3 linked regions of the Anolis sagrei genome follow. The protein of the gene in region 1 purifies or fractionates together with the protein of each later gene. This does not show direct contact. Links are inferred from orthologs where the notes say so. Each region holds a gene or a part of one and is shown on either strand. Other genes may lie near its edges.

What was found.
Region 2: the proteins of PIP4K2A (region 1) and AHCYL1 purify together in Homo sapiens (co-immunoprecipitation; 3 studies listed by BioGRID and IntAct, counting the BioPlex papers as one, with this or other methods). This does not show direct contact. The link is inferred for Anolis sagrei from reciprocal best matches to the Homo sapiens genes PIP4K2A and AHCYL1.
Region 3: the proteins of PIP4K2A (region 1) and UBE2H purify together in Homo sapiens (affinity purification with mass spectrometry; 3 studies listed by BioGRID and IntAct, with this or other methods). This does not show direct contact. The link is inferred for Anolis sagrei from reciprocal best matches to the Homo sapiens genes PIP4K2A and UBE2H.

The regions. Positions count from the first base shown.
Region 1 is NC_090026.1:108,313,428-108,323,523, reverse strand, and holds the start of PIP4K2A (phosphatidylinositol 5-phosphate 4-kinase type-2 alpha), read left to right. Parts: upstream 1-5,860; 5' UTR 5,861-6,079; coding exon 6,080-6,220; intron 6,221-10,096. UniProt on the Homo sapiens protein: Catalyzes the phosphorylation of phosphatidylinositol 5-phosphate (PtdIns5P) on the fourth hydroxyl of the myo-inositol ring, to form phosphatidylinositol 4,5-bisphosphate (PtdIns(4,5)P2). Has both ATP- and GTP-dependent kinase activities.
Region 2 is NC_090024.1:183,978,871-183,989,942, reverse strand, and holds the start of AHCYL1 (S-adenosylhomocysteine hydrolase-like protein 1), read left to right. Parts: upstream 1-6,070; 5' UTR 6,071-6,207; coding exon 6,208-6,318; intron 6,319-11,072. UniProt on the Homo sapiens protein: Multifaceted cellular regulator which coordinates several essential cellular functions including regulation of epithelial HCO3(-) and fluid secretion, mRNA processing and DNA replication.
Region 3 is NC_090025.1:195,014,319-195,024,979, reverse strand, and holds the start of UBE2H (ubiquitin-conjugating enzyme E2 H), read left to right. Parts: upstream 1-5,808; 5' UTR 5,809-6,159; coding exon 6,160-6,212; intron 6,213-10,661. UniProt on the Homo sapiens protein: Accepts ubiquitin from the E1 complex and catalyzes its covalent attachment to other proteins. E2 ubiquitin conjugating enzyme that transfers ubiquitin to MAEA, a core component of the CTLH E3 ubiquitin-protein ligase complex.

The sequences.
Region 1 (10,096 bases):
AACCTTAACCAAAATTCCCATGCCCATAACACAACCCACAAGGTACAAACATATCTACTCAAAATGAAAAACAACACAACACACTCACAAAACGGCAAAACAACTGAGCATGCGCATTGGCGCCCAGCCGCAAGTTCCATCGCGCGCGCACATGGCCTTCCGGCCAACGTTCCCTCTGCGGAAACCATGCCCACTCCAAGCCCCGCCGCGCCGCTTCCCGCACACACACACCCCCTGCCGCACACACACACGCAACCCCACGCTCCATCACTCCCCCCGCCGCCGCACACACACACGCAACCCCACGCTCCATCACTCCCCCCCGCCGCCGCACACACACGCAACCCCACTCCCCCTGCCGCCGCACACACACACGCAACCCCAGGCTCCATCACTCCCCCCGCCGCCGCACACACACACGCAACCCCAAGCTCCATCACTCCCCCCACCGCCGCACACACACATGCAACCCCAGGCTCCATCACTCCCCCCGCCGCCGCACACACACACACAACCCCACGCTCCATCACTCCCCTGCCCCAATCTTACCTCCTTTTACTTCAGGCCACCTCCAAACCCCACCCCGCCCCTTCCCGCCCTGTCAAAATCTAGGAAAGACAGGAAGGAAGGAAAGAAGGAAGAAAGAGAAAGGGAGGTGAAGAAAAAGGGGGAAGGAAGGAAAGTTAGAGGAAGAAGAAAAGGAAAGAAAAGGAAAGATGGAAGGAAAGAAAAGAGAGACAGCAGAAGAGAAAGAAAAAGGGGGAAGGAAGGAAAGAGATAGAGAAAGAAGAGGAGAAGGAAAGATGGGAAGGAAGGAAGGAAGGAGGGAGGGAGGGAGGGAGGGAGGGAAAGAAGGAGAGAAAGAGGGAAGATTGGCCACAGCAACACATGGCGGGTAAAGGTTGTTATTTCTATTATTGTTATTATGCTATTGTTCCTATGAGACCCTTTTAGGGGGAATGGGAGAGGTGTCAGGTCCCGGAGGCAATGCATTGCATTATTGTTATTGTTATGATGGTGGTGAAATAAAAGGAAATAAAAAGTGAAAGAAGGAAGCAAACAGGGAGGGAAGAAAGGCAAAGGAAGAAAGGGGGAGGGAATGAAGGAAAGAGAGAAGGATGAAACCAAGTAGTGAAAGAAGGAAAGAAAGAAAGAGGTAGAGAAGGAAGAAAGGAGAGAAAGGGTGAGGAAAAGGGGGAAGGAATAGGTAGGGACCTCTCTTTCATAATAGTCCAGATATCTACCTCAACTTTGATAAGTTTTACTATAGGCCACAGCAACGCGTGGCAGGGCACAGCTAGTAATTCTATAACAACCAACATGGATGACTGGGTGAGTGATGTAAGTCATCTAACAACCACCCATAGTGTACTTCCTCTTAGACATACCATGGCATCTCTAATTTCATAACTGAACTGGAAGGAAAGTATCTGGAGGAGGAATGCACACATTGAACTCAAAGTAAATCCCATTCAGTTCAATGGGACTGGCTTCTCAGTTGGCTAGGATTGCACTTTTAAGTGTCACTCTCTGAAGCAAAGTCTGAACTCCATCATAAGCAGCGCAAACAGCCGTGGGACAAAAGACATTATAGAATTGCCCGTTGCATTGACTCGGCAATTTCTTCAGCAGCAAAAATGTACTTCCTCTGCAGTTTGCAATCCCTGACAGCTGACCTATTACTGGCTTGCAGAGGAAGTGTTGGCAGCAACTTCAACTGCAAATGTAGGAAGGGATGGGGTGGGGGCGGGGCGGGGGGAAACCACACAAGAAGTATGCACAGGCAAAATACCAGCAGCAGCAGTAGCATCCAACGTTGTACTTTTATTTGCTGCAGATGTAAAGCCCTTCTTAGTTTCAAAGAAACTGGAAGCGTCTGAAGTCTTCTGGAGGAGAACATTCTTGGATTTTAACCCAAAGCTGCTTTTTAAAAATCTTGCTTCTGCCAGTCTTACTTCTGAGTAAACCTTCAAAATGACATGCTCAAAGCTTCTGCTCATTTTCAAAGAACTGAGTCTCTATCAGATGATATCAAGATTTTCACCCTCTGTGTATATGTGCCTTCAACTGCCTGTCAATTTATGGCAACCCCATGAATTTCATAAGGTTTTCTGTTGGTCACTATAAAGTGTTCTGGATTAAAGATATAGTAGAATCTCTCTTATCCAACATAAACGGGCCAGCAGAACATTGGATAAGTGAAAATGTTGGATAATAAGGAGGGATTAAGGAAAAGCCTATTAAATATCAAATTGTGCAATGATTTTAAAAATTAAGAACCAAAACATCATGTTTTACAACAAATTGACAGAAAAAGCAGTTCAATACATGGTAACATTATGTAGTAATTACTGTATTTAGGACATTAGCACCAAAACAGACAAGGGTTCTTTCTTTCTGCGACTCTGGACATTATTCCACAGGTAAATATACACTCCACTTCCCGCACCTGTGGATCCAAGCAGGAGGCAGACACTTTTGGATAATACAGAATGTTGGATAAGTGAAGGTTGGATAAGCAAGACTCTACTGTAGCTGCAGTGCATAGCACCCATATTTTCTGATTTGTAAGGGCCATAAGGAAGGCTGAGCAAAGGAAGGTTGACACTTTTGAACTGTGGTGTTGGAGGAAAATTCTGAGAGTGCCTTGGACCACAAGAAGATCAAACCAGTCCATACTCCAGGAAACTCCCTCACTGAAGGGAAGGATATTAGAGGCAAAGTTTGACCACATAATGAGAAGACAGGAAAGCTTGGAAAAATTAATGATGCTGGAGAAAATTGAAGGACAAAGGAAGAAGGTCCAACCAAGGGCAAGGTGGTTGTTATCCTTGAAGTGACTGGCTTGGCCTTGAAGGAGCTGGGGGTGGCCACCTCCGACAGGGAGCTTTGGCGTGGACTGGTCCATGAGGTCACGAAGAGTTGTAAATGACTGAACGAATAAACAACAAAAAGAGCTTATAAAAATGTCCAGTTTTTCCAAAGATAGGTAGTGCTTTACAAAAAGAAATTCTTAACTATACCTTGTTCCAAAGATAACCATTGATTTCAATTGTGCTTTCTGCCTAGTTAGGATATGCAGCCCTAACATCTTACTAATATAAAAGAATTCATCAACAACAAATAATAAGAACTACAGCCATGGCCTGGAATATATTAGGTGTGGGAGGAACATCTTTGATGAGCGATATAAAGGCTCCTTAAGATGAAAATGTTTTTTCTGGCAGGAGCCCCAAACCGAGATGTTGACGTGCCTGTTTCAGTACAAAGAGCAAGAAAACTGGAGCTAGCATCAGACGCCAAGACACATCTGAGCTGGGAACATGGGAGCTGATTCAAAACGTAGGTCAGCGTACTGATGAACCCAAAACAGGAGATCTCTATGACGGAAATGGAAAGGGAAGTAAGGAGATGCAACAAGAAGAATGTATAAGCATTATCTATTTCATCTGCGGTAATCAAATGAGACAAGGTAAGTGCATGCAGCAATGATGATGATGAAACATTCAAAAGCAACAGAGTTATCTGCATGCACTTTTTGGGTACTGTGGAGCACTTTTATGAGTCATTAACACACCGAGTCATTAACACGCTGATTCTGGATTATAATTCCTCAAATCTCACAATTTATTTGGTTGTTGGCCAAGGGCATTTGGAGAGTTTCAGTTTATAAAGAGACCACACAAGGACTTCAGGAGTTCAAATCTCCTTGCCCATGGAAACCTATTGGGTGATTTTGGGCAAGCCACACTCTCTCAACCTCAGAAGAAGGCAGTGACAAATTTCCTCTGAGCAAACTCACCCACCCACCCCCAAAAACACACAATAAGTTTGCCATAGGGTCGCCATTAGTTTTTCATGTCAGGAGTCACTTAAGAAACTGCCCAGGGGACGCTCGGATGTTTTTGATGTTTTACCCATCCTTGTGAGAGGCTTCTCTCGTGTCCCCATATGGAAGTGTTTCTCAACCTGGGGGTCGGGACCCCGGGGGGGGGGTCGCAAGGGGGTGTCAGAGGGGTCACCAAAAAACATCAGAAAACACAGTATTTTCTGTTGGTCATGGGGGTTCTGTTTGGGAAATTTGACCCAAATCTATCGTTTGTGGGATTCAGAATTCCCTTTGATTGCAGGTAAACTATAAATCCCAGCAACTACAACTCCCAAATGTCAAGGTCTATTTTCTCTAAATAGTGTTCACATTTGGGTATATTGAATATTTGTGCCAAGTTTGGTTCAGATCCATCATTGTTTGATTCCACAGTGTTCTTTGGATATAGGTGAACTACAATTCCAAAACTCAAGGTCAATGCCCATCAAGCTCTTGTAGTATTTTATGTTAGTCATGGAAGTTCTGTGTGCCAAGATTGGTTCAATTCCATCATTGGTGGAGTACAAAATGCTCTTTGATTGTAGGTTAACTATAAATCCCAGCAACTACAACTCCCAAATGACAAAAATCAACTCCCCCCCCCCCCCGAAGTCCACCAGTATTCAAATTGGGGTGTATCGGGTATTTGTGTCAAATTTGGTCCAGTGAATGAGAATACACCTTGCATATCAGGAATTTACGTTACAATTCACAATATTCGCAAAATTACAGTTAGAAAGTAGCAATGAAAATAATTTTATGATTGGGGGCCACCACAACAAGAGGAACTGTATTAAGGGGTCATGGCATTAGGAAGGTTGGGAGCCCCTGGTGGCGCAGTGGGTTAAACTCCTGTGCTGGCAGGACTGAAGACCGACAGGTCGCAGGGTCGAATCCAGGGAGAGGCGGATGAGCTCCCTCTATCAGCTCCAGCTCCTCATGCGGGGACATGAGAGAAGCCTCCCCCAAGGATGATAAAAACATCAAATCATCCAGGCGTCCCCTGGGCAACGTCCTTGCAGACGGCCAATTCTCTCACACCAGGAGTCACTCCTGACACGACTAAAAAAAAATTAGGAAGGTTGAGAACCACTGCCGTATGGGGAGCTGGAGCTGACAGAAGGAGCTCATCCGAGCGGCTTAAGGAGCTGGGCATGTTTAGCCTGAAGAAGAGAAGGCTGAGAGGGGATATGATAGCCATGTATAAATATGTGAGAGGAAGCCACAGGGAGGAGGGAGTAAGCTTGTTTTCTGCTTCCCTGGAGACTAGGACACTATGGAACAATGGCTTCAAACTACAGGAAAGAAGATTCCATCTGAACACGAGGAAGAACTTCCTGACTGTGAGAGCCGTTCAGCAGTGGAACTCTCTGCCCCGGAGTGTGGTGGAGGCTCCTTCTTTGGAAGCTTTTAAACAGAGGCTGGATGGCCATCTGTCAGGGGTGATTTGAATGCAATATTCCTGCTCCTTGGCAGAAGGGGGTTGGACTGGATGGCCCATGAGGTCTCTTCCAACTCTTTGATTCTATGATTCATCCACGCTCCCCCCGGGATTCGAACCTGTGACCTGTCGGTCTTCAGTCCTGCAGGCACAAGAGTTTGACCCACTGCGCCAAGAGGGGGTCTATGGTGAGAGGGAAGAGCCGGCACATTCTTTTTGTCACGCATGCTCAGAGCGAGCACGGGAAGAGACTTCAAATCCCCTTAGTGCGCATGCTCAGAGCGAGGACGGGAGGAGACTTCAAATCCCCTTAGTGCGCATGCTCGTAGCGAGCTAGAGCCCGTCTGTGAAAATAAGAGTGTAGGGTAGTTAGTGGAAGAAACTGCACACTCCTGTTGCGCATGCGTTAAAAGGGAAGAGGGACTTAGCGCGCATGCTCACACAAAACGAAGTGTTCCTGCTCAGAGGGCGGGGAGGGAGGGTGGGTGAGTGAGTGGGCGGGGCGAAGGGAGGGAGGGAGGAGAGGGGGCGTGGCCTGTGCGGGGAGGAGGCGGAGGCGGCGCGCGGGGCCATATTCGGCGCGCGGCGGCGCAGGCGGCCAGGCCAGGATGCGCTTGGCATTGTCCTGCAGTGGCAGAAGCAGCAGCAATCGCTGCGGCACCCACACCGCCGCTGCCCTCTTGCCGCAATAGCGCCTGCCCTTCCCCTCCTTCCTTCAATCCTTCCTTCCCCTTCCGCCTTGGCTTCCTCCTCCTCCTGCTGCTCTCACCATGGCGGCCCCCAGCAACATCGTGTCCGTCATGGCGAGCAAGACCAAGACCAAGAAGAAGCACTTCGTGGCCCAGAAAGTCAAGCTCTTCCGGGCCAGCGACCCGCTCCTCAGCGTCCTCATGTGGGGGGTGAACCACTCGGTAAGACGGGGAAGGAAGGAAGGAGGGAGGGAGGGTTGCTGAAGGAAGAGGGACCTCTCTCTCTCATGACAGATCTGTGTCTTGGGAGGATTCTTGAAGGGCGAGTCAGCACAGAGGTGGTTTAACGTGGTTGAGCCTTGACAGGATGAGTGGGATCAATGTCATGGAGTTGGAAGAGGCCCCAGAGGGCATACAGCCCACCCAACCCTGATCTGCCACCAAAACATTCCCGACAGATGGCCATCCCGCCTCTACTTTAAAGCATCTACACCAGGCCTGGGCAAACTTTGTCCCTCCAGGTGTTTGGACTTCCACAATCCCTAATTCATTTCAATTTACCCACTTTTGTTGGAAGAGACTACCAGAGGTCATCCAGCCCACTCTACCCTATTCTACCACGAAAACACTCTCAACAGATGGCCATCCAGCCTCTGTTTCAAAGCCTCTACACCAGGCTTGCGCAAACTTTAGCTGTTTTGGATTTCCACCATTCCTAATTCACATCAATTTACCCACTTCTGTTGGAAGGGACCCCCAGAGGTCATCCAGCCCACCCAACCCTGATCTCCCACCAAAATGCTCCTGACAGATGGCCATCCAGCCCCTGCTTCAAAACCTCTACACCAGGCTTGGGCAAACTTCAGGTGTTTTGGATTTCCACCATTCCTAGTTCACTTCAATTTACCCACTTCTGTTGGAAGGGACCCCCAAAAGTCATCCAGCCCACCCAACCCTGATCTCCCACCAAAACGCTCCTGACAGATGGCCATTCAGCCCCTGCTTCAAAACCTCTACACCAGGCCTAGGCAAACTTCATCTCTCCAGGTGTTTCGGACTTCCACAATTCCTAATTCACCTCAATTTACCCACTTCTGTTGGAAGAGACCCCCAGAGGCCATCCAGCCCACTCTACCACCAAAACACTCCCACCAAAACACTCCCTCTGCTTCAAAGCCTCTACACCAGTCCTGGGCAAACTTCATTTCGCCAGGTGTTTCTGGACTTCTACCATTCCTAATTCATTTCAATTTACTCACTTTTGTTGGAAGGGATCCCCAGAGGTCATCCAGCCCACCCAACCCTGATCTCCCACCAAAACGCTCCTGACAGATGGCCATCCAGCCCCTGCTTCAAAACCTCTACACCAGGCCTGGGCAAACTTCATCTCTCCAGGTGTTTGGAATTTCCACCATTCCTAATTCACTTCAATTTACCCACTTCTGTTGGAACAGACCCCCAGAGGCCATCCAGCCCACTCTACCCCATTCTATCTCCAAAACACTCCCGACAGATGGCCATCCAGCCTGTACTTAAAAGCCTCTACACCAGGACTTCCACCATTCCTAATTTTACTTCAATTTACCCACTTCTGCCAGTTCTCTTCATACCTCTGCAGGCTCGTCCTTATCTGAAATACTTGGGATTAGAAGCATTTTCGATTATTGTTGCTATTGTTGCATTTGTTTATACATACTCTACTTTTCTTGCTTTGTTTTCATAAAAGAGATTCACAAAGGCCATCCAGATCCAATCCCTTGATATTTGAGCCCTACAGTAGGCTGTTAGGAATTATGGGAGTTGAAGTCCAAAACACCTGGAGGGCCAAAGTTTGCCCATGCCCATTATAAGTTTTTTTAAATTTTGGAATGCCCCCCCCCCATTGGCATATATGGACAACATCTTGGAGATAACAACAAAAACAACAGTAATAGTAATACTTTATTTATGTCCTTTTCTTCCGGCCCAGACCCTTTAAATAGTTCTTTAATAGGCCCTGGACATTAGTGGCCCTTGGCCCCCCAGTATGACCATTGCTGAGACCCGCTCCTGCACTGTAGCATTCTGTCGGCCCCATGCCTCCCTTTTCTCTGCCCTAGTTTCAGCCTAGCCCAGTGGTTCTCAACCTGGGGTCCCCATAGCCTGACCAATAGCTTAAGCCTTTTATCTGAATTTTGGCCCCTAGTAGCTTACCTTGCACGAAAGAAAAGAGCAGAATTGATTTTTAAATTGGTTTTAATATATATGTTGTGTTAATAGTTTATGCTTATGTTCTATGTTTCACATTGTATGTGTTTAGTATTTTGCATATGTGGAAACCGTTCTGAGTCCCCTAGGGGAGATAGGGCAGTATATAAATAAAGATTATTATTATTATTATTATTATTATTATTATTATTATTGTTATTGGTACCTCTGCAGGCCCATCACAGGTTGAATGTTTGTTATTTGAAATTTATTATTTTATTTATTTGCTATATTTATAAACCACTTTTCTCCCCCTTAAGGGAACTCAAAGCAGTTTCGAACATTATAAAAGCAAAATTCAATGCTGTACGTACATGTGAAAACCAAAAGATAATCGCAAGACCATAACATACAACTACAAATTAACCGTACCAAATTAAAATGTAAACATAAAATAATATTTAGACATAAAACATAAAAAATTAAACATTGGTAATACAATAACATTTATATTAAAAACCTACCGATAAAAAACACTATTTTAAAAACTGTTCGGCTGTTAGGAATTATGAGAGTTGAAGTCCAAAACACCTGGAGGGCCAAAGTTTGCCCATATCTGTATTAGAGGGGTTTTTTTTTATTTAGGAATCTCCCATTGGCATATATGGACAATATCTTGGAGATAATAATAATTATTATTTATAACCTGTCCCCTCTCTCTAAAGGGACTCAGAGATAGGATCCAACCAAGCCCAGAAACAAAATTAATTTTATGTTTCATACGCACCTTGTACACATAGCTTGAACGTAATTTAATACTTTTATGCATGAAATAAAGTTTGTGTATATTGAAAGCAAAGGTGTCACTACCTCATTCACCCCCTGTGGATGATTTCGGATTTTGAAGGGATGCTCAACCTGTACAAGCTTGGACAAGAGGCTTGGCACTCCCACCCGGGTGTGCACACACTGCTTTCCCCTCTTCCTCCCCAACACACGCCTTCTGTCTCATGTGTGCTTTCTTTTCTATAGAGTTCTGGCTGATTATTGGGCAGCGGGGGGTAGGTTCAGACATAAAAGTCTGAACAGAGGCTGGATGGCCATCTGTCGGGGGGTGCTTTGAATGTGATTTTCCTGCTCTTTGGCAGGAGGTTGGACTGGATGGCCCGCGAGGTCTCTTCCATCTCTGATTCTATAAGTTCCCCATCAAGGCACTGGTTAGTGTTGATGGATAAGAAAAGGGTGCAAATTATGAGTGTTTTGGTGTGGGATACATGTGCCCTTGGATACATAACTTCAGAGGTGATCATAGCAGAAGAAGGTGAGAAGTATTCTTTCTCTCTTATGTTCCCCTTTCTTTCATGTTGGGTTCTGTGAGTGCATTTTTCCTTTAGCGTTTAATGTTAGGAACTTGGTGATTGTTGAGTCTTGGTTATTAGCAATGATGACTAAATGGAGATGAATTTTCCTTAAATGCCAGACACAGACTATACACAACAGAGAAAGACTTTGCCAGTAGCATCTGACTGAAGGTATTTCACAGTGCTAGATGTGATAAACCTTAGTCGTATTATATAGCAAGCGCTTATCTTTACATCCTATTGTTTGGTACTTCTCTCTCCGAGACAGTGGGGCTGAGTAACTACAACAAATGCCATTCTTAATAGGATGTCTGGGATGTAGTTGACAGTGGGCAATACTAGATTAATGGAGGGAGCTGAGCATTTTACCCCAGAACTAATGGCTTTGCTGCTGTTCAGGCTGGATGCATTTTGCTGAGCAGTGGTTTAAAAAAAAACCGCAGGCTGCAGAGCAGCTAGAATGTCTTTATACTCACAGGGAAACCCCATCTTTCCCACCACCCTATAAAATAATGTATGTTGCATGCTTCAAAGACAGAACATTTAATGC
Region 2 (11,072 bases), on another chromosome or scaffold:
TCCAAGCTCATGGATATTATGCCTTCAATAATGTGTAAACAATTCACAGTTTAAGCATGTTGCTATATAAATCCAAAAGCCACAAAACTATTTTTAATCTTATTTAGATGAGCTTACTACTTGCAATAACATAATGCGGGAATGTTTGGGCTGTTAGAAATGGACAGCAAATTCTTGGTTCATCTCATTTATTTTGATTGAATTTTTACTGTCAGCAAGAGGGAGTGGAGCCTGTGGGATTTCCTGCCTCTTTGTGCCAAAATAACTTGGCTACCTTCAGGAACTATGGCTCTTGATTTGTGGCCTTGGAAGGCTGCATTTGCTGATTTTCTTCAGGTAGCAAAACATCTTGGGTCAGGGCTGTATATCCTTAACTGATGGGCAGGAAACGTCCAATCTGCATGCAACCCCTGAGACTATTTGCTCTGGCCCTTCGTCTCCCAACCAAATACTTATCAAATACTGGTTCAGATCTGGTGCCTTTAACTTTATCAGATAAAGATTGAGAAAATTGCAACACACAAAAAGACCACAGGCATTAGTGATATGAACATTAGATATGTGCCAAATTCAAGATGCAGGATTACAACAGCAATCAAAGCAAAATAATTTGTACCCAAGTCCACTAGGCTATGGCTTCTCTGGGTGAAAGAGCACATTTGATGGCCCCCTTGGGCAACATTTTACAAGGGTTAAATGGCTGAGGCAGTTCACACTGGGAGGGCTAGGCCACAGATATTATAAGTCCTGGCTGTTCTCATCTGCTCCCCTTTTCAAGGCTCGATCAGGGGGACTGTTGCATTGTTGGAAATAGCAACCTTCTTCAAGTCTCCACTAGTTATTTGTTATGTAAATAATTTAGATTGCTTACTATATTGTATATGTGTGTATTGGTATGCAATTTTACTTTAACTCTTTGTTGTGGGAAGGGCTGCAGACCAAGTGAGCAGATCTGGGCTTGTTCAGGGCTCAGACTCCATTTTAGAACAGTATGCTTGGAAACTTCAGTAGGAACAGATGCATGCTTTCAGACTCCATTGGACTTTCAGACTAGACAGAGAGATGCTTTAGATGATAGACTGTTGATTCTAAGAATTAGGCCTGTGTTACCTACACAAACTACTTCAAATCCTATTTGTAACTGGATTGATAAGCAAAATTTGCTGAATACATGAAGTTTGTGAGTAAACCAACTATGTTACTTTTAAAGAAGTGTGCATATTTTGTCTCTTGAGAGCATGGTCTCTCGTTCCTCTGCCTTTTCCAAACCCAACTTGTACATCTGGCAACTCTTGCTACATGTATTGCTGGAGTCTACTATGTTACTTTTAAAGAAGTCTGCTTATTTTGTCTCTTGGTAGTATGATTTAAAGGCAAATATATATTTAAGGAAGAATAGATGTTTCTGGGCAACTACAAAAAAAAAAAAAACCACTTCTGAAACTCTGCTATATACATATATGTTTTGTGCATTGGCATATCTTTGTCCCTAACCGTTCAAAGAGATGTTTAGGATATCAGTTTAACAGCTGAGAAACCTAATTGCCTTGCATGAATGCCATTTTCCCAAAAGATTATGGCATCATTATTCAAATGGTTATGACTTCTAACAAGGTCATGCCTTTCCAAAGATCATAAAATCTCCAAAAGGGTAAGGAGATTTCAGTTTTCCAAAATGCATTACCCCACAGGATCCGTGGCCATGATTTGTGTGAATACTTTTTTGCCTGGCTTGTTGTGGTTGCAGGTTCAGCACAGGGATGAAAGTGAATGGTTGAATTGGTATCAAGGCAGGAAGTGGCAGGCAAATTGCTTTTTTGAACTAGGCCTTTCCCTCCTTGCTGCCTCTCCTTCCATCCCAGTGGATAATAGGGTTCTAACTACTTTGCCTTTGCCTTTCAGGCATTTGAATTTGAGTTTTTTCTGCCCTTGGCAATTTTGGCATGAATTTCTCAGCAGAGCATAATGCAGGAATGGGGAAAATCCACCTCATGGGACATATAAGGCCCACAAATTCATTTGGTCTGGCCTGGCACAGAGAAGGACACCTCTCCCAGTCCACTCTCTGTTAAGTTGTATTTCTGGCATTGCAGAGGGATTGGCTGGTGTCAAGATGTTATCGAGCAATTGAGAATGGCTATGGATAGTGAGATCCAAGCCACTGTGAGTTTAGCCTGGTGAGAAAATAAGCCAAAACTCCAGAATGAATCTCACCAAGTTGAAGCAGCTATAAGGCCGTGATTTACATACTGCTTTGTATCTCCTCTCTCTCTTTATGATTGGCTGCCTTTCTCCCGAGGGGGGGGGGGGGGTTAAACCCCCTTCCACATTCCATCATTGCCAAAAGGCAAAAACCCGCAAAACAGCAAGACTGCGAAAAGTGAACTGCAAAGTAGCGAGGGAACACTGTAGTGATATAATATACTAATATTGTGCTATGGTAATAAGTCAGAGCCCCCCATTGATTGTCTTTTTGGGCTCCTCCCTCACAAATACACTTTCCCCCCACTCCTATCTCATCCAGAGTTTTATCATTTTATCTTGTGTATTTGGCCTGCTCATTGTGTTTGACTTTCCATTATGTTACTTTGCATTGCTTATTTTATCTTTTTACATTATGTATTTTATCATGATGTAATTTTTTGTTGTTTTGTATTTTATTTTGCTGTATTGTATTTTTGGGTTTGGCCTCATGTGAGCTGCCCCGAGTCCCCTTTGGGGAGATGGTGGTGGGTATAAATAAAGTTTATTATTATTATTTAAAACACAACAAGATGAGTCCAAAGCAGACAAGGTCACTCTGCTGGCTGTTGTATTGGATCACACCTCGGACACTTCCCAAGTGTCTAGGACTGTGTGATGTATTGGTGAATAATGTGTGCACATCCCAGTAAGGTGGCCTTCTGCAGCTGGCAGGTGGTAATTTTGTCAGCACTTATTGTGTTTAAGTGCAGGCCAGGGTCTTTAGGCACTGCACCCAGTGTGCCGATCACCACTGGAACCACTTTGACTGGCTTATGCCAGTCTTTGCAGTTTGATCTTTAAATCCTCGCATCGTGTCAGCTTTTCCAGTTGTTTCTCTTCAATCCTGCTGTCAACTGGGATTGCAACATCGACAATCCATACTTTGTTTTTTTAACACAATTGTAAAGGTCAGGAGTATTATGCTCCAAAACTCTGTCTGTCTGAACCCGGAAGTCCCAGAGGAGTTTGGCGTGTTCATTCTCTGTAACTTTTTCCGGCTTGTGATCCCACTAGTTCTTTGTTGCAGGCATATGGTATTTGTGGCACAAGTTCCAATGAATCATCTGAGCAACGGTGAGGATGTGATCTATTGTTTCATCTGCTTCCTTGCAGAGTCTACATTTGGGATCTGTTGTCGACTTTTCAATTCTGGCTTTGATGGCATTGGTTCGAATGGCTTGTTCTTGGGCTGCCAGAATCAGACCCTCCATCTTCTTTTTCAAAGTTCCATTTGTGAGCCACAGCCATGTTTTTTCTTTGTCAGTTTGGCTCTCACTTTTTCCCAGGAACTGTCCATGGAGAGCCTTCTTTTGCCAGTTTTCTCTTCTGCTCTGGATTGTGTTTTTACAGTATTCACTCTTTCTCAAAACTCTATCTCAATTCGGAAGTCCCAGAGGAGTTTGATGTGTTAATTTTCTGTAACTTTTTCCTGCTTGTGATCCTACCAGTTCTTTGTCGCAGGCAGATGGTATTTGTGGCACAGGTTCCAGTGAATCATCTGAGCAATGGTGTTATGCCTCTGCTTGTAGTCTGTCTAAGATAATTATTATTACATATTACAAGTAATATGTAAATAATAATAATAAGTTTATTATTATTATTTACATATTACTTGTAAGCCACTTGGAGTCCCTTTCAAGGTGAGAAGGGTGGCATATAAATTTCGTAAATAAATAAAATTAATTAATGGAATAATTTTACAATTTATAATCCAAAGCCATGTCTGGGTTGTTGTAGGTTTTTTTGGGCTATATGGCCATGTTCTAGAAGCATCCTCTCCTGACTTTTCGCCTGCATCTATGGCAAGCATCCTGAGAGGTAGTGAGGTCTGTTGGAACTAGGAAAATGGGTTTACATATCTGTGGAATGACCAGGGTGAGACAAAGGACTTTTGTTTGCTGGGGCTAGATGTGAATGTTTCAGCTGATCACCTTGATTAGCATTCAATGGCTTAGAAGTGCCCGGGGGGAATCCCTTGCTGAGAGTGATTTTATGTGCCTGTTTGTTTCCCCTCTGTTGTTTTGCTGTTGTGATTTTTGAGTCCTTTAATACTGGTAGCCAGATTTTGTTCATTTTCATGGTTTCTTCCTTTCTGTTGAAATTGTCCACATGCTTGTGGACTTCAATGGCTTCTCTGTGTAGTCTGACATGGTGGTTGTGAGAGTGGTCCAGCATTTTTGTGTTCTCAAATAAAATGCTGTGTCCAGGTTGGTTCATCAGGTGCTCTGCTATGGCTGATTTCTCTGGCTGACGTAGTCTGCAGTGCCTTTCATGTTCCTTGATTCTTGTTTGGGTGATGCTGCTTTTGGTGTTCCCGATGTAGACTTGTCCACAGCTGCATGTGGACAAAGCACGTTGGGCGGGGACAAGAGACAGGGCCTTCTCAGTAGTGGCCCCTCGGCTATGGAACACACTCCCTAGGGAAATCTGATCTGCTCCCTCCCTCTTGACGTTTCGGAAGCAAGTTAAAACGTGGCTATTCGAGCAAGCGTTTACAAATACAGAGTAACTAATATAGGAAATCGAATGACCTGACAATGGAATTGGACAATGCTTGAGAATAATGAGACGCTGACGATGTTGCTTTTATTGCTTTTGTGATGTCTTATACTGTTCAATGTTTTTTATATCATGTGTTTTATGTATACTGATTTGTTGGAAACCGCCTTGAGACGGCAATTGGCTGAGAAAGGCGATATACAAATACAGTAAATAAAATAAATAAATAAATAAAGGTATACGGTAGACTCCTGCAGAAGTGTCCTTTGCTGAACGTAGCATTTGTTGGATTTTCTTTGTGGGTCAAAGCCAGGTCCTTTTTCTTTCTCTAGAAAGGAATTTATTTGGCTCGAAAAAGATCTTGGAGTCCTCGTGGACAACAAGTTAAACATGAGCCAACAATGTGATGTGGCGGCAAAAAAAGCCAATGGGATTTTGGCCTACATCAATAGGAGCATAGTGTCTAGATCTAGGGAAGTCATGCTACCCCTCTATTCTGCTTTGGTTAGACCACACCTGGAATATTGTGTCCAATTCTGGGCACCACAATTCAAGAGAGATATTGACAAGCTGGAATGTGTCCAGAGGAGGACAACTAAAATGATCAAGGGCCTGGAGAACAAGCCCTATGAGGAGCGGCTTAAGGAGCTGGGCATGTTTAGCCTGAAGAAGAGAAGGCTGAGAGGAGATATGATAGCCATGTATAAAATATGTGAGAGGAAGCCACAGGGAGGAGGGAGCAAGCTTGTTTGGGAAGCTTGCTTCCCTGGAGACTAGGACGCGGAACAATGACTTCAAACTACAAGAAAGGAGGTTCCATCTGAACATGAGGAAGAACTTCCTGACTGTGAGAGCCGTTCAGCAGTGGTACTCTCTGCCCCGGAGTGTGGTGGAGGCTCCTTCTTTGGAAGCTTTTAAACAGAGGCTGGACGGCCATCTGTCAGGGGTGATTTGAATGCAATATTCCTGCTTCTTGGCAGGGGGTTGGACTGGATGGCCCATGAGGTCTCTTCCAACTCTTTGATTCTATGATTCTATTTTGTTTATTCACATTATGCCATGAATTCATATGGAATTGGCTCCAGGAGCTCAGGCTCTTTGCCGCCGGTCCTCACAAAATGTGGTTGAGCAGGCTGTGTCCTTTTTTCATCCTCGGCTCCTTCCATTGCGTCACTTCTGCAACCAGCCGCCAGATGGCGCTGAGGTGCTCTCATCCAAGATGCTGCGCGACAGAGCTTTGCGTGCGACGTCGGGAGGGCCCGGCTTGGTCGGCGCGAGGGGGAAAGGGGGCGGGGCCCCGAGGCGTGCGTGGTGACGCGCGCGCCCCGCTTGGCCCCGCCCCTTGCCGGAGCGCGGCAGCGGTGGTTGCAGGCTGAGTGGTTGCTGACGGAGGAGGAGGAGGAGGAGGAGGAGGAGAGGCACCTGAGGCGTAGGATCCCTCTCTCGGGCCCTTTCCCCTTCAGGATGTCTTCGGCGCCGGACGCGGCCTCCGGGGACGAGCTGAAGCAAGCCAAGGAGATGGAGGACGCGGAGAAGTACTCCTTCATGTCCACGCTCACCAAGGCGCCCAAGAAGGTGAGCGAGCGAGGGAGGGAGGGAGGGCCGGGATCACCTCAGGCCTCAAAGTCGCGCCCTCTGGAGGGGCCAAGGAACCCCTTCGGGGCAGAGGAACTCTGCACGCGCTCAGGGGAGCACTTGCCTTGGTCAGCACTCGGGGAATAGATAGATAGATAGATAGATAGATAGATAGAGGAGGCGGAGGAGAAAGAGATTTCTGCCCTGTAGAAGGAAATAATGCGGGCTTGACGCCACTTGAACTGCTATGGAATCATGGGAGATGTAGTTTTACAAGTTCTTTAGGGAATCCTAAGAGACCACAATGGCCACAAGCCAACCCCCTGCCGTGTGGGAGAAGCACAATCAAAGCAACCCCGACAGATGGTCATGCAGCAAAGAAGTATCCTTTCATGTCCATACTCACCAAGGTGCCCAAGAAGATGAGGGCGCCTTGTACACTCTGAGCATGTACAGAGTTCCTCTCTCGTCCAGCCACATTTCAAAAGCCATCCAACCTCACTCTGAGACAGAGAGTTCCACTGCTGAACAGCTCTTACAGCAAGTGTGAGCAAACTTTGGCCCTCCGGGTGTTTTGGACTTCAACTCCCACAATTCCTAACAGCCGGTAGGCTCATGCCTGTCTTACACTCAGGAAGTTCTTCCTAATGTTCAGCTGGAATCTCCATTCCTGTCATTTGAATCTATTGCTCCTCTTTCTTTCAAATATTTGAACATGGTTATCCTGTCTCCTTTCAACCTTATCTTCCTCACCAAACTACAACTCCCAGAATTCCAGGGCAGTTTTTTTTTCGTGCCAGGAGCAACTTGCGAAACTGCAAGTCGCTTCTGGTGTGAAAGAATTGGCTGTGTGCAAGGATGTTGCCGAGGGGATGCTGGGATGTTTTACCATCCTGTGGGAGGCATCTTTCATGTCCCCACATGAGAAGCTGGAGCTGATAGACAGGAGCTCGCCCCGCTCCTTGGATCTGAACCGCTGACCTTTCGGTCAGCAGTCCTGCCGGCACAGGGGTTTAATCCATTGCTCCACCGGGGGTTCCTCTCCAGGGCAGTTAAAATGGGGACGCTGAGACATTTTACCATCCTGTGGGAAGCTTCTCTCATATTCTCACAAGAAGCTGGAGCTGACAGACAGGAGCTCACCCCACTCCTTGGATTCGAAACGCAGACCTTTCGGTCAGCAGTCCTGCCAGCACAGGGGTTTAATCCATTGCGCCACCAGGCAGTTAAAATTGTGTTAGACTGCATTAAGTTTACAGATAAATGTGGTGCTGTCTGTCAGGTGTTTTGGCTGAAAGCATCTACACTATAGAATAAATGCAGTTGGGCATTCCTTTAACGACCACAGCTTAGTACTATGGAGTCCTGCGAGTTGTAGTTTGGGAAGGCACTAGAAACATTTGGTAGAGAAGGCTAAATATCTTGTAAAACTACAAGCATTTAGCCATCGTAGTTAAAGTGGTGTCAAACTAAATTTCTTCTGAAGTGTAGATGCATCCCAAGAGAGGTGTTACAGCTCAAAGGGAGTCAGTGTTAAGACACACTTTCCTGGTGTGTCAGGTGAACGGTTCCTTGCTGCCCGAAGCTTAACTGACTCTTAAGATCATTATCCCTGTTCCTCTCTGTGGAAGGTATTTCCGCCTAGATGTCTGTAAAGAGGCCTGGCTAGATGTGATCCAAGCCTTGTAGCTGTCCTGGGTTATGACGATTTCCCTTGATTCATGCCACAGGCTAGGAAGAATGTCGAGGCCAGTGGGCACAGGTGATCCGGAAACCAGGTTTGCTTTCAGACTGCTCTGCAGAAGGAGGTCCTTCCCCTTCCCGTTGGTGCTCTGCCTGTTCTCAGGAATGTGGGTATTTGTGCTGTGGCATGTGAGCCTCTAAGGGCCATTATGCAAGCTATAAAAGTGGGTTGCAGGTTATTCCGTAGCAGTAAGTGTCTTGCGTCTATTGCAGAGACCTGGATGTGCTTCTCTATCAGTAGACGATTGATTTCACTTCTGAATAAGTCTACAAAGTCCCTTGCTTGACTTGTGTGAAGGCTGCACCTGCTAACAGCCTAAAAGGGATCTGTGCTATGAAGAACTTATTCTTAAATCTGCTCTAGCTGGTATCCTTAATCCAAGGTCTTCTCGGGAAAGGGTCTTCTCGGTGGTGGCCCCCCGACTCTGGAACTCACTTCCCAAGGACATCAGACATGGCCCAACTCTGGCAGTCTTTAGGAGGAGCCTGAAAACGTGGTTGTTCCAGTGTGCTTTCCCAGAATAAGGAAAACTCTCAGCAATATGCCCTCAAATGCACTTTACTATGGATTTAGGACTGACTGCGTTCCCTCATCTCTCTTTGAAAAATTTTTATCCCAGTTATATCCTACCTTGGTCATGCCCAGCATTATTTTTTAAATTTTAATTATCACATTTGGCCAAGCCATAGATTTTTTTTAAAATGCTTGTGTGTTACTGTTATTGTTTATTGTTTATTTTTTTGTTTATGTGATTTATATTAATTGTTTTGTATTTATTGTTTTTGTTATTGCTTCTGTTTACTGATGTACTTTGGGCTTGGCCTCATGTAAGCCGCACCGAGTCCCTTGGGGAGATGGTGGCGGGGTATAAATAAAATATTATTATTATTATTCTCTAGATTCTTCCAGTTCTATTTAACATAAATTAATAAACAATTGTTTCTTTGAGTTCTGCCTGGTTTGCTTTCCCCAAAATTACCTTTGTGAGGCCCCATAGTTGTAATAATTGTTGTTAGTGAATCTGAACTCAAGAATTCTGACTTCTAGCCAGATAGATGCAGTCAAAATTCTCCATTTAGATTTATCATAGGACCTCCTTCAGCACAAAGCATGGCGTTCTTTTCAGGTTTATCTTGTCTGGGTTCAAATTTAAATTCAGGTTCTGTAGTGTGCAGATCAAAAACTGAGACCTATTGGACGTTTTCTTGCGGTAATTACGTTTTCCTCTTGAATTGAATTGATGCCGAACTGAATTAGTTTAAACAGTTTATATTTTTTGAAGTCACATTTGAAAGCTTTTGTTGCTCTCTCAGGAGATCAGACATCTTCTGGGGACTGAGGAATTCTGAGCCCTTTCTGCATTATTTATCTAGTAAACTTATATGGACTGGAACTACTTCTACAATGTACCCAGGCAGACCTATAACATTCATTTTGTAAAAAAAAGAAAACAAAAGAAAAGTGAATTTCACCTTGAATATGTAACCAAAGTATTTTACTCTAGCCAGTGTAATTCTCATACAAATCAAGCAACAACAACATAAACACTTCCAACAGATAATTTTTCCAAATCATGGAAAATATACTTATGGAAGTAGCCTCACCAGCCATCTTTATCAGTCTTTATCAGTTAAAATGCAACTGGAATAAAGTTTAATCAACTTTTGAATACCCTCCCTTGTATTCATATGCATCCCAGTTTTTTATATACTTGGGTAGATTCTTTATTTTCAGTATTACCCATGTTGCCTTACTCATGTAAATTGACATCAGCAAGACTTGTCTGTCATCCCCCCCCCCAAAAAAAAAATCTCCAGAGGGATAGAGACTTCCACAACTGGTTTTACTGTGGACACTGTTCTAATTTCAAAAAAACAGTTTTTTAAATGTACAGGTTGATCGTAGGTGTATATTCTGCATTATGCAGGTGCTTGAGACTTAGTCTGCTTTTGAAATATTAGCTATATTAAAATTGATGTTTGAAATATTTTATGCTTTTCTTAAAATAAGAAAATTGAGATTTGAAAAGATAGGCTGCTCAAACAGCTAGAGGTGGGCTGTACTTAAGTTACTTAACCTAAGATGCAATTAGAATGCATGTTCTTACATATGCCAGATCCCCAAAATGTTTATCTGTGGTTTTTATATGTTACACAAAACTCTCAGTGTATGTAACATACATGCACGCACATGCTAATTTTGGTCTATTTTAGGTCCTTGGGTTTCAGGGTAAATTAGAGTTTAGAAAGATTGCTTTTTAGGACAAAAGTTACTAAGATCCATGAGTGGCAATGCTGCAGAAGAAGCATTGTTTCTGAGTTCTGGTTGAATTGGATTCTTGGCTGTGTGGCATAAATTATTTGAAAACCTTTTATTTTTATAATTGCAAAGTTTACACATTAGGCAGAGTTTAGTAGATCATGTTCTACCCTGCTAAGCATATTTCTTAGAATTTCCCTGTAAGGGAAAGACTGAAAATGTGTTTGTGAGCTGAAGTACTATTTCATTTAATGAAGCAGATGTGCTACTGGTAATTATTTCATTAATAGAATATTTAGCATCCGTAAGGAGAGGCGGGCAGGAAATAAAACTATTACTATTATTATCAATGCCAGAGACAAAAATAACATGGAAAGAGTAGGAATGGGTTCCTGCATCACACCATTTTTTTAAAGAAATCATAATGTTAAAATAATTTAAGATCTGTAGCTAAAAGGATTAATGGGCAATTGAAACAGTTTTTTAAAGTAGTATAGCAAAAAAAAAAAACATTTTTGTTACTGTTAGCTACCTTGCAATTTTTGAAACAAAAACAGGATATCAATCTGATAAGGAACAATAGAATTATGGAAACATCTTAATGAAAAAGGTGTCATGTATGTTGTGTGGAATAACAGTAAAATAAAAATAGAAAAGCATGGTGCCCAATACCTTCTTGCTGTTTCACTTCTACAACTTTGTCATTTTATACTGAACAGGAATGTAGTCAGTCATGGTGGTTCACATGTTT
Region 3 (10,661 bases), on another chromosome or scaffold:
ACTCATAAAAACACTGAAAAACAGCAGAAGAAACTTAAAAACCCCCAAAATAAAAAATACTTTACAACACATGTGCAAAACCACGTATATATATATATACACAAACACACATATACGCAAATATATACACAAATAAAACACATATACACAGACTGGGCCACAGCAACGTGTGGCAGGAGACAGCTATATATATATGTGTGTGTGTGTGAGATAGTGACTAGATCAAGGGAAGTTATAATCCCACTCTCTTCTGCTTTGGTCACCTGGAATCACATAATGTCCAGTTCTGGGCAAAACAATTCAAGGGAGAGATGGACAAAATGGAAAATGCCCAAAGAAGTGCCACCACAATGGTCAAAGGTGTGGAAACTATGCATCTACTAGCTTAAGTTCCCAGTGATGTCCAGGTTAGGTCTTTTAGAATAATAATAATAATAATAATAATAATAATAATAAAAAATAATAATAATAACAACAATAATAATACACAACATGACACGATACGAGGATTTAAAGATTGAACTGCAAAGACTCTGGCACAAGCGAGTAAAGGTGGTACCATCTGCGAGCTGCAGAAGGCCACCTTACTGGCATCTGCTCGCATTATCCGCCGATACATCACACAGCCCTAGACACTTGGAAAGGGTCCAATGTGTGATCCAATTCAATAGCCAGCAGAGTCTCTGTTGTGGACTCATCTTGTTGTGTTTCAAATATCAACAACAATGATATGAGGATTTAAAGATCGAACTGCCAAGACTCTGGCACAAACCAGTCACGGTGGTCCCAGTGGTGATCGGCACACTGGGTGCAGTGCCTAAAGACCTTGGCCTGCACTTAAACACAATTGGTGCTGATAAGATTACCATCTATCAGCTGCCGAAGGCCACCTTACTGGGATCTGCGCACATCATTCGCCGATCCATCACACAGTCCTAGACACTTGGGAAGGGTCCAACCTGTGATCCAATACAACAGCCAGCAGAGTGTCTGGACTCATCTTGTTGTGTTTCAGCTAATAATAATAATAATAATAATAAAGTTTCCTTTGAAGGGGGAAAGCAGGATATAATAATAATAATTATAGTATGATTTAAAGTCTCATTTTACCCGAGGGAATATTATTATTATTGTGGTTGTTGTTGTTATTATTAGTACAGAATCATAGAATCATAGAATCAACGAGTTGGAAGAGACCTCATGGGCCATCCAGTCCAACCCCATTCTGCCAAGAAGCAGGAATATTGCATTCAAATCACCCCTGACAGATGGCCATCCAGCCTCTGCTTAAAAGCTTCCAAAGAAGGAGCCTCCACCACACTCCGGGGCAGAGAGTTCCACTGCTGAACGGCTCTCACAGTCAGGAAGTTCTTCCTAATGTTCAGATGGAATCTCCTCTCTTGTAGTTTGAAGCCATTGTTCCGCGTCCTAGTCTCCAAGGAAGCAGAAAACAAGCTTGCTCCCTCCTCCCTGTGGCTTCCTCTCACATATTTATACATGGCTATCATATCTCCTCTCAGCCTTCTCTTCTTCAGGCTAAACATGCCCAGTTCCCTAAGCCGCTCCTCATAGGGCTTGTTCTCCAGACCCTTGATCATTTTAGTCACCCTCCTCTGGACACATTCCAGCTTGTCAATATCTCTCTTGAATTGTGGTCCCAGAATTGGACACAGTATTCCAGATGTGGTCTAACCAAAGCGGAATAGAGGGGTAGCATTACTTCCTTAGATCTAGACACTAGGCTCCTCTTGATGCAGGCCAAAATCCCACTGGCTTTTTTTGCTGCCACATCACATTGTTGGCTCATGTTTAACTTGTTGTCCACAAGGACTCCAAGATCTTTTTCACATGTACTGCTCTCGAGCCAGGCATCGTCCCCCATTCTGTATCTTTGCATTTCATTTTTCCTGCCAAAGTGGAGTATCTTGCATTTGTCACTGTTGAACTTCATTTTGTTAGTTTTGGCCCATCTCTCTAATCTGTAGTAATACAAATAACAGTCTCCTTTTGGGGGAGGAAAGTAGGATGATAATAATAGTAGTAGTAATGGTGTGTTGACACTGTAGAATGGATGCAGTATGAGACCCCTGTAACAGCTATGCCTTAATGCTATGGAACAGTGGGAGTTGTAGTTTTACAAGGTTTCTAGCCTCCGTCAAAGAGCGCCTGTGCCTCATCGAACTATATCTCCCAGAACTGCACAGCGTTGAGCCATGGCAGTTAAAGTGGTATCAAACTGCATTAATTCGACGGAGTGGATGCATTCTAAAATGAGGGGAAACACATGAAATAATGAGCTCTGTGGTCCTGATCCAAATCTTGCTCTTGCACCTCCAACACCTGCTTTAGTATTTCTAAAGGAGAAATACTAAAAGATGGTGTTTTTTCAGCCTTAAAGGCATCATACATATTTTTAAATGCATTTTCTCCAAACAACAACCCTGCAGAGTAGGTTACGTGGAGGGAAATACGTGGCCATGAGCGACATGGTTGCTGCTTTCCCTTACTTAAAAACGCCACTCTCCATTCTTTGCAAGGATTTGTGTTGTGATGCTTTTCATGATATTTGTATTGATTCCTTCTATACGCTGGTCTGGGTGCTTTTAAGGAAAGTGAAGCAGCAGCGACAACAACAACAGCAGCGGCAGAATATTGACCACAAAGTGTATTTGGACCCAAGCAGAACGTAATGATATATTGAATTTCAGCCCCGTGATTTAAACAAATGAGCAGGAGGTACCCCACGAAAGCTCCAAATCATGGAGTTAGAAGAGACTTCCAAAGGACATCCAGTCGCACCCCTTGTAGTGCAATACACAACCAAAACACTCCTGGCAGACAGCCATCAGCTTAGGAAAGAAACATCTTCCAAGCAGAGTGTAATCTGCCTTTTCAACAGTTTGGAACTAGGACCTTTTAAAGTGGTGGAGGTTTTTAAACAGAGGCTGGATGGACCTCTATTTGATATGTTTTGACTGTGTCTTCTTGCATGGCAGAAGGGGGTTGGACTAGATGGCTCCGAGAGTCTCTTCCGACTCTATGATTCTATATTTATGTTGTTGTTGTTGTTATGTGCCTTCGTTTCCCATGAACGGGAATCCTAAAATTGGTTCAAAAGACGTTTTGCCTTTCCCTTCTGAGGCTGAGAGAGTGTGACTCATTCAAGGTCACCAATTTGGTTTCCATTGTAGTAGAGTTGGGAGAGACCCCAAGGACCATCCAGTCCAACCAGGCAGGAAGACACAACCGAAGCCCTCCTGACTGATGCCCATCCAACCTCTGCTTATACAAACAACAATGGATCTGGACCAAACCTGTCACGCTTCCCCAACATATGCATCTTTGACAACCAGTGGGATTTGGAAGGAACAGACCTTGAATTTAGGGAGTTATAGTTCGTTTCCATCCAAAGGGTGCTGTGAACCCAAACGACGATGGATCTGGACCAGACTTGGCACACAGACCAACTTGGAATATGAGTGGGTTTGGAACAATGACAGGTGATGGTGGGAGTTGTAGTTTACTCATATTCTTATGCATTTACTAATGAGCCCATTCTTAAAAGTCAACAATTGATATTTTGTATGTTTATCATTATTATTATCATTATATCCTGCTTTCCTTCCTTAAAAGGGGACTCTTATTATTATTATTATTATTATTATTATTATTATTATTATTTCCTGCTTTCTTCCCCTAAAAGACTCTAAATATTATTATTTCCTGCTTCCCGCTTCAAATGAGACTCTTATTATTATTATTGTTGTTGTTACTATTATTGCAATTATTATTATGTGCTTTCTTCCCCTAAAAGAAGACTCTAGTCTAAATATTCTTCTTGGCACCACTTGAACTGCCAATGGCTCAAGGCTATAGGGGCCCTGCGAGTCGTAGTTCGACAAGGCCTTCTGTAGCAAACAGTGTAGAATTACAACTCCCAGGATGCCGTAGCCATGGGCCACTTTGACAAGCCTGTTCTCTTGCCACACAAAACTCTGGAAGCTGTAGTTCGCCAAGGGAACTTTCAGCCTTTTCTGTCAAATAATGGCTCCGTGCTCTTGGAGTGGTGGGAGTTGTAGTTCCTCCACGCCCTTTTAGCCTTCCCTGCAGAAATGGGTGCTGATCCCACACCAAACTACAACTCCCACCCTGCCACAAACACTTCAGCAAACTACAACTCCCAATCTGCCATGAACACTTAAGCAAACTACAGCTCTCATCTTTCCATGAACACCTCAACAAACTACAACTCTCATCCTTCCACAAATACCTCACCAAATTACACCTATCCTTCCATGAACAGTTCAGCAAGCTACAACTCCCATCCTTCTATGAATGCTTCAGCAACTACAACTCCCTTCCATGAGTACTTCAGCAAACTACAACTCCCATCCTTCCACAAATACCTCAGCAAACTACAACTCCCACCCATGAATTCTTCAGCAAACTACAACTCCCATCCTTCCATCAATTCATCATCAAACTACAACTCCCATCCCTCCATGAGTACTTCAGCAAACTACAACTCCCACCCTTCCACAAATACCTCATCAAACTACAACTCCTATCCTTCCATGAACTCTTCAGCAAACTACAACTCCCATCCTTCCACGAATACCTCAGCAAACTACAACTCCCATCCCTCCATGAGTGCTGCAGCAAACTACAACTCCCACCCTTCATTGAACACTTCAGCAAACTACAGCTCCCATCCTTCCATGCACACCTGAGCAAGCTACAACTCCCATCCTTCCATGAGTACAAACTACAACTCCCATCCTTCCATGTGTACTTTAGCAAACTACAACTCCTATAATTCCACAAATACCTCATCAAACTACAACTCCTACCCTTCCATAAACACTTCAGTAAACAAATCCCATCCTTCCACGAATACCTCGGCAAACCACAACTCTCACCCTTCAATGAATTCATCAAACTACAATTCCCATCCTTCCATGCACACCTGAGCAAGCTACAACTCCCATCCCTCCATGAGTACTTCAGTAAACTACAACTCCCATCTTTCCATGAGTACTTCAGCAAACTACAACTCCCATCCTTCCATGAATACCTCAGCAAACTACAACTCACATCCTTCCATGAGTACCTCAGCAAACTATAACTCCCAACCTTCCATGAGTACTTCAGCAAACTACAACTCCCATCCTTCCATGAGTACTTCAGCAAACTACAACTCCCATCCTTCCATGAATACCTCAGCAAACTACAACTCACATCATTCCACGAACGACTCAGCAAACTATAACTCCCATCCTTCCATGAGTACTCCCATAATTCCCTGAACACTTCTGTAAACTACAACTCCCATCCATACATGAGTTCTTCAGCAAACTATAACTCCCATCCTTCCATGAGTACCTCAGCAAGCTACAACTCACATCCTTCCATGAGTACCTCAGCAAACTACAACTCCCCTCCTTCCACGATCGACTCAGCAAACTATAACTCCCATCCTTCCATGAGTACTCCCATAATTCCACGAACACTTTAGCAAACTACAACTCCCATCCTTCCACGAACACCTCAGCAAACTACAACTCCCAAGGGGTCCCATGAGCAGGGGTGCCCAAAGTGGGTTAATTCTCCCCAGTGTAGACGGCCTCAGCTCCAGAGAGGCCTTGCCTTTGAGGGATGCTGGGAGTCGGAGTCCAAAACACAGGGAGGTGCTTTGAGGGAAAGGACTCCAACTCCCGTCGTGCCTCGGGGCGCGGGGACAGGGAGAGGGCGGGCTTGGCCGCAGTGACGTCGCCGCCGCCGTCCAATAAGAAGCCCGGCCTGGGCGGTGAGGTCACTGTGGGTGACGTCAGAGGAGAGAGAGAGAGAGAGGCAGCAGAAGAGCCTCGGCGGCGGGCGAAGCAGAAGCAGCCAGCAGAGAGCAGGAGCAGGAGCAGGAAAGCGGTGCGGAAGGGCGCAGGAAACAGACACACAACAAGAGGAGAACCAAAGAAATTAAGAGAGGGGAGGGGGTGCCAGGAAGAGCCGGCTCGGGAAGGGCGGGGCCTCGGAGGAAGGAGCAAAGGAGGCGGAGCCAAGGAGAGAGAGAGAGAGGATCCCACCGCGCAGGCGCAGGAAGCGGGGCTCCAGCGTTAAAGGGGTCCTGACAGGACAAGAGAGGCCGCCGGCCGGGGGGGCGCCATGTCCTCCCCCAGCCCTGGCAAGAGGCGGATGGACACCGACGTGGTCAAGCTGTATCCTTCGCCTGCGGGAAAACGAGGGGAACGGGGGAAGGAAGGGGGTGTTGTGGTTGTGGGAAACGGGGGGCACCCCAAAAGGCAGGGAAAGAGGGACGCTGGCCCTTTAAGAAGGCCAAGCAGGCAGGGAATTGAATTGGGGGATCCCTCTCAAGCTGGGGGTTGCTTACAGGGTCTTCCTCCTCAAGTGAAAGAAATTGAGAGATATTTTAGAAAGGATAGACCCCCCTCCCCCCCAAAAATAGAAAGACCCCTTCCCCATTGGAATGACTTGAGGAGTAAACAAAAAAAGGTTGCTGGCCCTTTAAGAAGGCCAAAGGGCCAAGGAATGGGGTATCCTCACAAGCTGGGGGTTGCTTACAGGGTCTTCCTCCTCAAGTCAAAGAAATTGAGAGATATTTTAGAAAGGATAGACCCCCCCTCCCCCCAAAAAATAGAAAGACCCCTTCCACATTGGAATGACTTGAGGAGTAAACAAAAAAAGGTTGCTGGCCCTTTAAGAAGGCCAAAGGGCCAAGGAATGGGGTATCCTCACAAGCTGGGGGTTGCTTACAGGGTCTTCCTCCTCAAGTCAAAGAAATTGAGAGATATTTTAGAAAGGATAGACCACCCCCCCCTTCCAAAAAGAGAGAGACACCCCTTCCCCATTGGAGTAAAAAAAGAGGATGCTGGCCCTTTAAGAAGGCCAAGGAGGCAGGGAATTGGGGGATCCCTCACAAGCTGGGGGTTGCTTACAGGGTCTTTCTCCTCAAGTCAAAGAAATTGAGAGATATTTTTAAAAGGATAGACCCCCCTCCCCCTAAAAAATAGAAAGACCCCTTCCCCATTGGAGTAAAAAAAGAGGATACTGGCCCTTTAAGAAGGCCAAGGAGGCAGGGAATTGGGGGGATCCCTCACAAGCTGGGGGTTGCTTACAGGGTCTTCCTCCTCAAGTCAAAGAAATTGAGAGATATTTTAGAAAGGATAGAGCCCCCCTCCCCAAAAAATAGAGACACCCCTTCCCAATTGGAGTAAAAAAAGAGGATACTGGCCCTTTAAGAAGGCCAAAGAGGCAGGGAATTGGGGGGGATCCCTCTCAAGCTGGGGGTTGCTTACAGGGTCCTTCTCACCAAGGCTTCCCTTTCAGAAAGGAATACAGATCCCCCCACAAAAAGAAAGACCCCTTCCCCATTGGAATAACTTGAGGAGTAAACAAAAAAAGGTTGCTGGCCCTTTAAGAAGGCCAAAGGGCCAAGGAATGGGGTATCCTCACAAGCTGGGGATTGCTTACAGGTCTTGCTCCTCAAGTCAAAGAAAATTAAGAGATATTTAAAAAAGGATAGACCACCCCCCCTCCAAAAAGAGAGAGAGACCCCTTCCCCATTGGAGTAAAAAAAGAGGATACTGGCCCTTTAAAAAGGTCAAGGAAAGCAAGGGTTGGTTACAGGGTCCTTCTCACCAAGGCTTCCCTTTGAGAAAGGAATACAGAGAGATTTGTAAAAGGACAGACCCCCCCTCCAAAAAAGAAAAAGAGAAAGACCCTTTCCCAATTGGAGTAAAAAAAGAGGATACTGGCCCTTTAAGAAGGCCAAGGAGCCAAGGAAAGGGAAGGCTTGTTTACACGGTCCTTCTCACCAAGTCTTCCCTTTGAGAAAGGAATTAGACAAACACCCCCCCCCCCCAAAAGAGAGAAAGACCCCTTCCCCATTGGTGTAAAAAAGAGGATATGGCCCTTTAAGAAGGCCAAGGAAAGGGAAGACTTGGTTACAGGGTCTTTCTCCTCAAGTCAAAGGAATTAGGGATATTTTAAAAAGGATAGACCCCCCTCCCCCCAAAAATAGAAAGACCCCTTCCCCATTGGAATAAAAAAAGAGGATACTGGCCCTTTAAGAAGGCCAGGGAATTGGGGGGATCCCTCACAAGCTGGGGGTTGCTTACAGGGTCCTTCTCACCAAGGCTTCCCTTTCAGAAAGGAATACAGATTCCCCCCCCCCCCCCCAAATAGAAAGACCCCTTCCCCATTGGAATGACTTGAGGAGTAAACAAAAAAAGGTTGCTGGCCCTTTAAGAAGGCCAAAGGGCCAAGGAATGGGGTATCCTCACAAGCTGGGGATTGCTTACAGGGTCTTGCTCCTTAAGTCAAAGAAATTAAGAGATATTTTAAAAAGGATAGACCCCCCTCCCTCCCCCCAATAGAAAGACCCCTTCCCCACTGGTGTAAAAGAGGATACTGGCTCTTTAAGAAGGCCAAGGAGGCAGGGAATTGGGGGATCCCTCACAAACTGGGGTTGCTTACAGGGTCTTTCTCCTCAAGTCAAAGAAATTGAGAGATATTTTTAAAAGGATAGACCCCCCCTCCCCCCAAAAATAGAAAGACCCCTTTCCCATTGGAGTAAAAAAAGGATACTGGCCCTTTAAGAAGGCCAAGAAAAGGGAAGGCTTGGTTACAGGGTCTTTCTCACCAAGTCTTCCCTTTGAGAAGGAAGATAGAAATATTTTTAAAAGGACAAACCTCCCCCCTCTAAAAATAAGAAAGATCCCTTCCCCATTGCAGTAAAAAAAGAGGATACTGCCCCTTTAAGAAGGCCAAGAAAAGGGAAGGCTTGCTTACAGGGTCCTTCTCTCCAAGTCTTCCCTTTGAGAAAGGAATACAGAGGGATTTGTAAAAGGACAGATCCCCCTCCTCAAAAGAAAGACCCCCTTCCCCATTGGTGTAAAAAAAGAGGATAGTGGCCCTTTAAGAAGACCTTTTCCCCATTGGAGTAAAAAAAGAGGATACTGGCCCTTTAAGAAGGCCAAGGGTCACAAGCTGAGGTTTGATTACAGGATCCTTCTCACAAAGTCTTCCCTTTCGGAAAGGAATACAGAGAGATTTGTAAAAGGACAGATCCCCCACTCCAAAAGAGAGAAAGACCCCTTCCCCATTGGTGTTAAAAAAGAGGATACTGGCCCTTTAAGAAGGCCAAGGAGCCAAGGAAAGGGAAGGCTTGTGTACAGGGTCCTTCTCTCCAAGTCTTCCCTTTGAGAGAGGAATACAGAGAGATTTGTAAAAGGACAGATCCCCCTCCTCAAAAGAAAGACCCCTTCTCCATTGGAGTAAAAAAGGAGGATACTGGCCCTTTAAGAAGACCCTTTCTCCATTGGAGTAAGAAAAGAGGATACTGGCCCTTTAAGAAGATCCCTTCCCCATTGGAGTAAAAAAAAAAGAAGAAGATACTGGCCCTTTAAGAAGTCAGGAAATGGGGCTGCTGAGCCTTTCAGAAAGTAAATTTAGAAAATTCCTCATTGAAATGACTTGAGGAGTAAAACAGAGAGTGCTGGCCCTTTAAGAAGGTAATTCTGAGTCAGGAAAGGCCAGGAAATGGGGGACACTGGCCCTTTAAGAAGGCCAAGGAAACAGGGAATTGAGGGATCCCTCACAAGCTGAGTCTTGATTACAGGGTCCTTCTCACCAAGGCTTCCCTTTCAGAAAGGAATACAGATCCCCCCTCAAAAAAAGAGAAAGACCCCTTCCCCATTGGAATGACTTGAGTAAAAAAAGAGGTTGCTGGCCCTTTAAGAAGGCCAAGGAGCCAAAAAATGGGGTATCCTCACAAGCTGAGGCTTGTTTACAGGGTCCTTCTCACCAAGTCTTCCTTTTAAGAGATTTGTAAGAGGATGGACCCCCCCCCCCCCCATAAAAGAGAAAGACCCCCTTCCCCATTTGAATGACTTGAGGAGTAAACAAAAAAAGGTTGCTGGCCCTTTAAGAAGGCCAAGGGGCCAAGGAATGGGGTATCCTCACAAGCTGAGGCTTGGTTACAGGGTCCTGCTCACCAAGGCTTCCCTTTCAAAAAGGAATACAGAGAGATCTGTAAAAGGACAGATCCCCCCCCCCCGCCCCGCCCCCCCAAAAGAGAAAGGCCCCCTTCCCCATTGGAATGACTTGAGGAGTAAAAAAAGAGGGTGCTGGCCCTTTAAGATGTCAGGAAATGGAGGTGCTGGGCCTTTAAGAGGGTAATTCCAAGTTAGGAAATTGGGGTGCTGGCCCTTTAAGAAGGTAATTCTGTATCAGGAAAGATCAGGAAATGGGGTACACTGGCCCTATAGGAAGGTAATTCTGAGTCAGGAAATAGGTGACACTGGCCCTTTAAGATGGCCAAAGGGCCAGGGAATGGGATAGCCTCACAAGGAAAGACTTAGTTACAGGATTCTTCTCACCAGATCTTCATTGATCCCGTTTAAAAAAGGGAATAGGCTAAAAAAAAAGACCACCTCCCTCCAAAAAGAGAAAGCCCCTTCCCCGTTGGAATGACTTGACGAGGAAATGGGGACACTGGCCCTTTAAGAAGTCCAAGGAGACAGGGCATAGCATATATTCACAAGGGAAGACTTGGTCACAGGATTCTTCTCACCAAGTATTCCTTTTTAAAAAGGAATTAGAGAGATTTTTTTTAAAAAGACAGACCCCCCCCCCATTAGATAAAG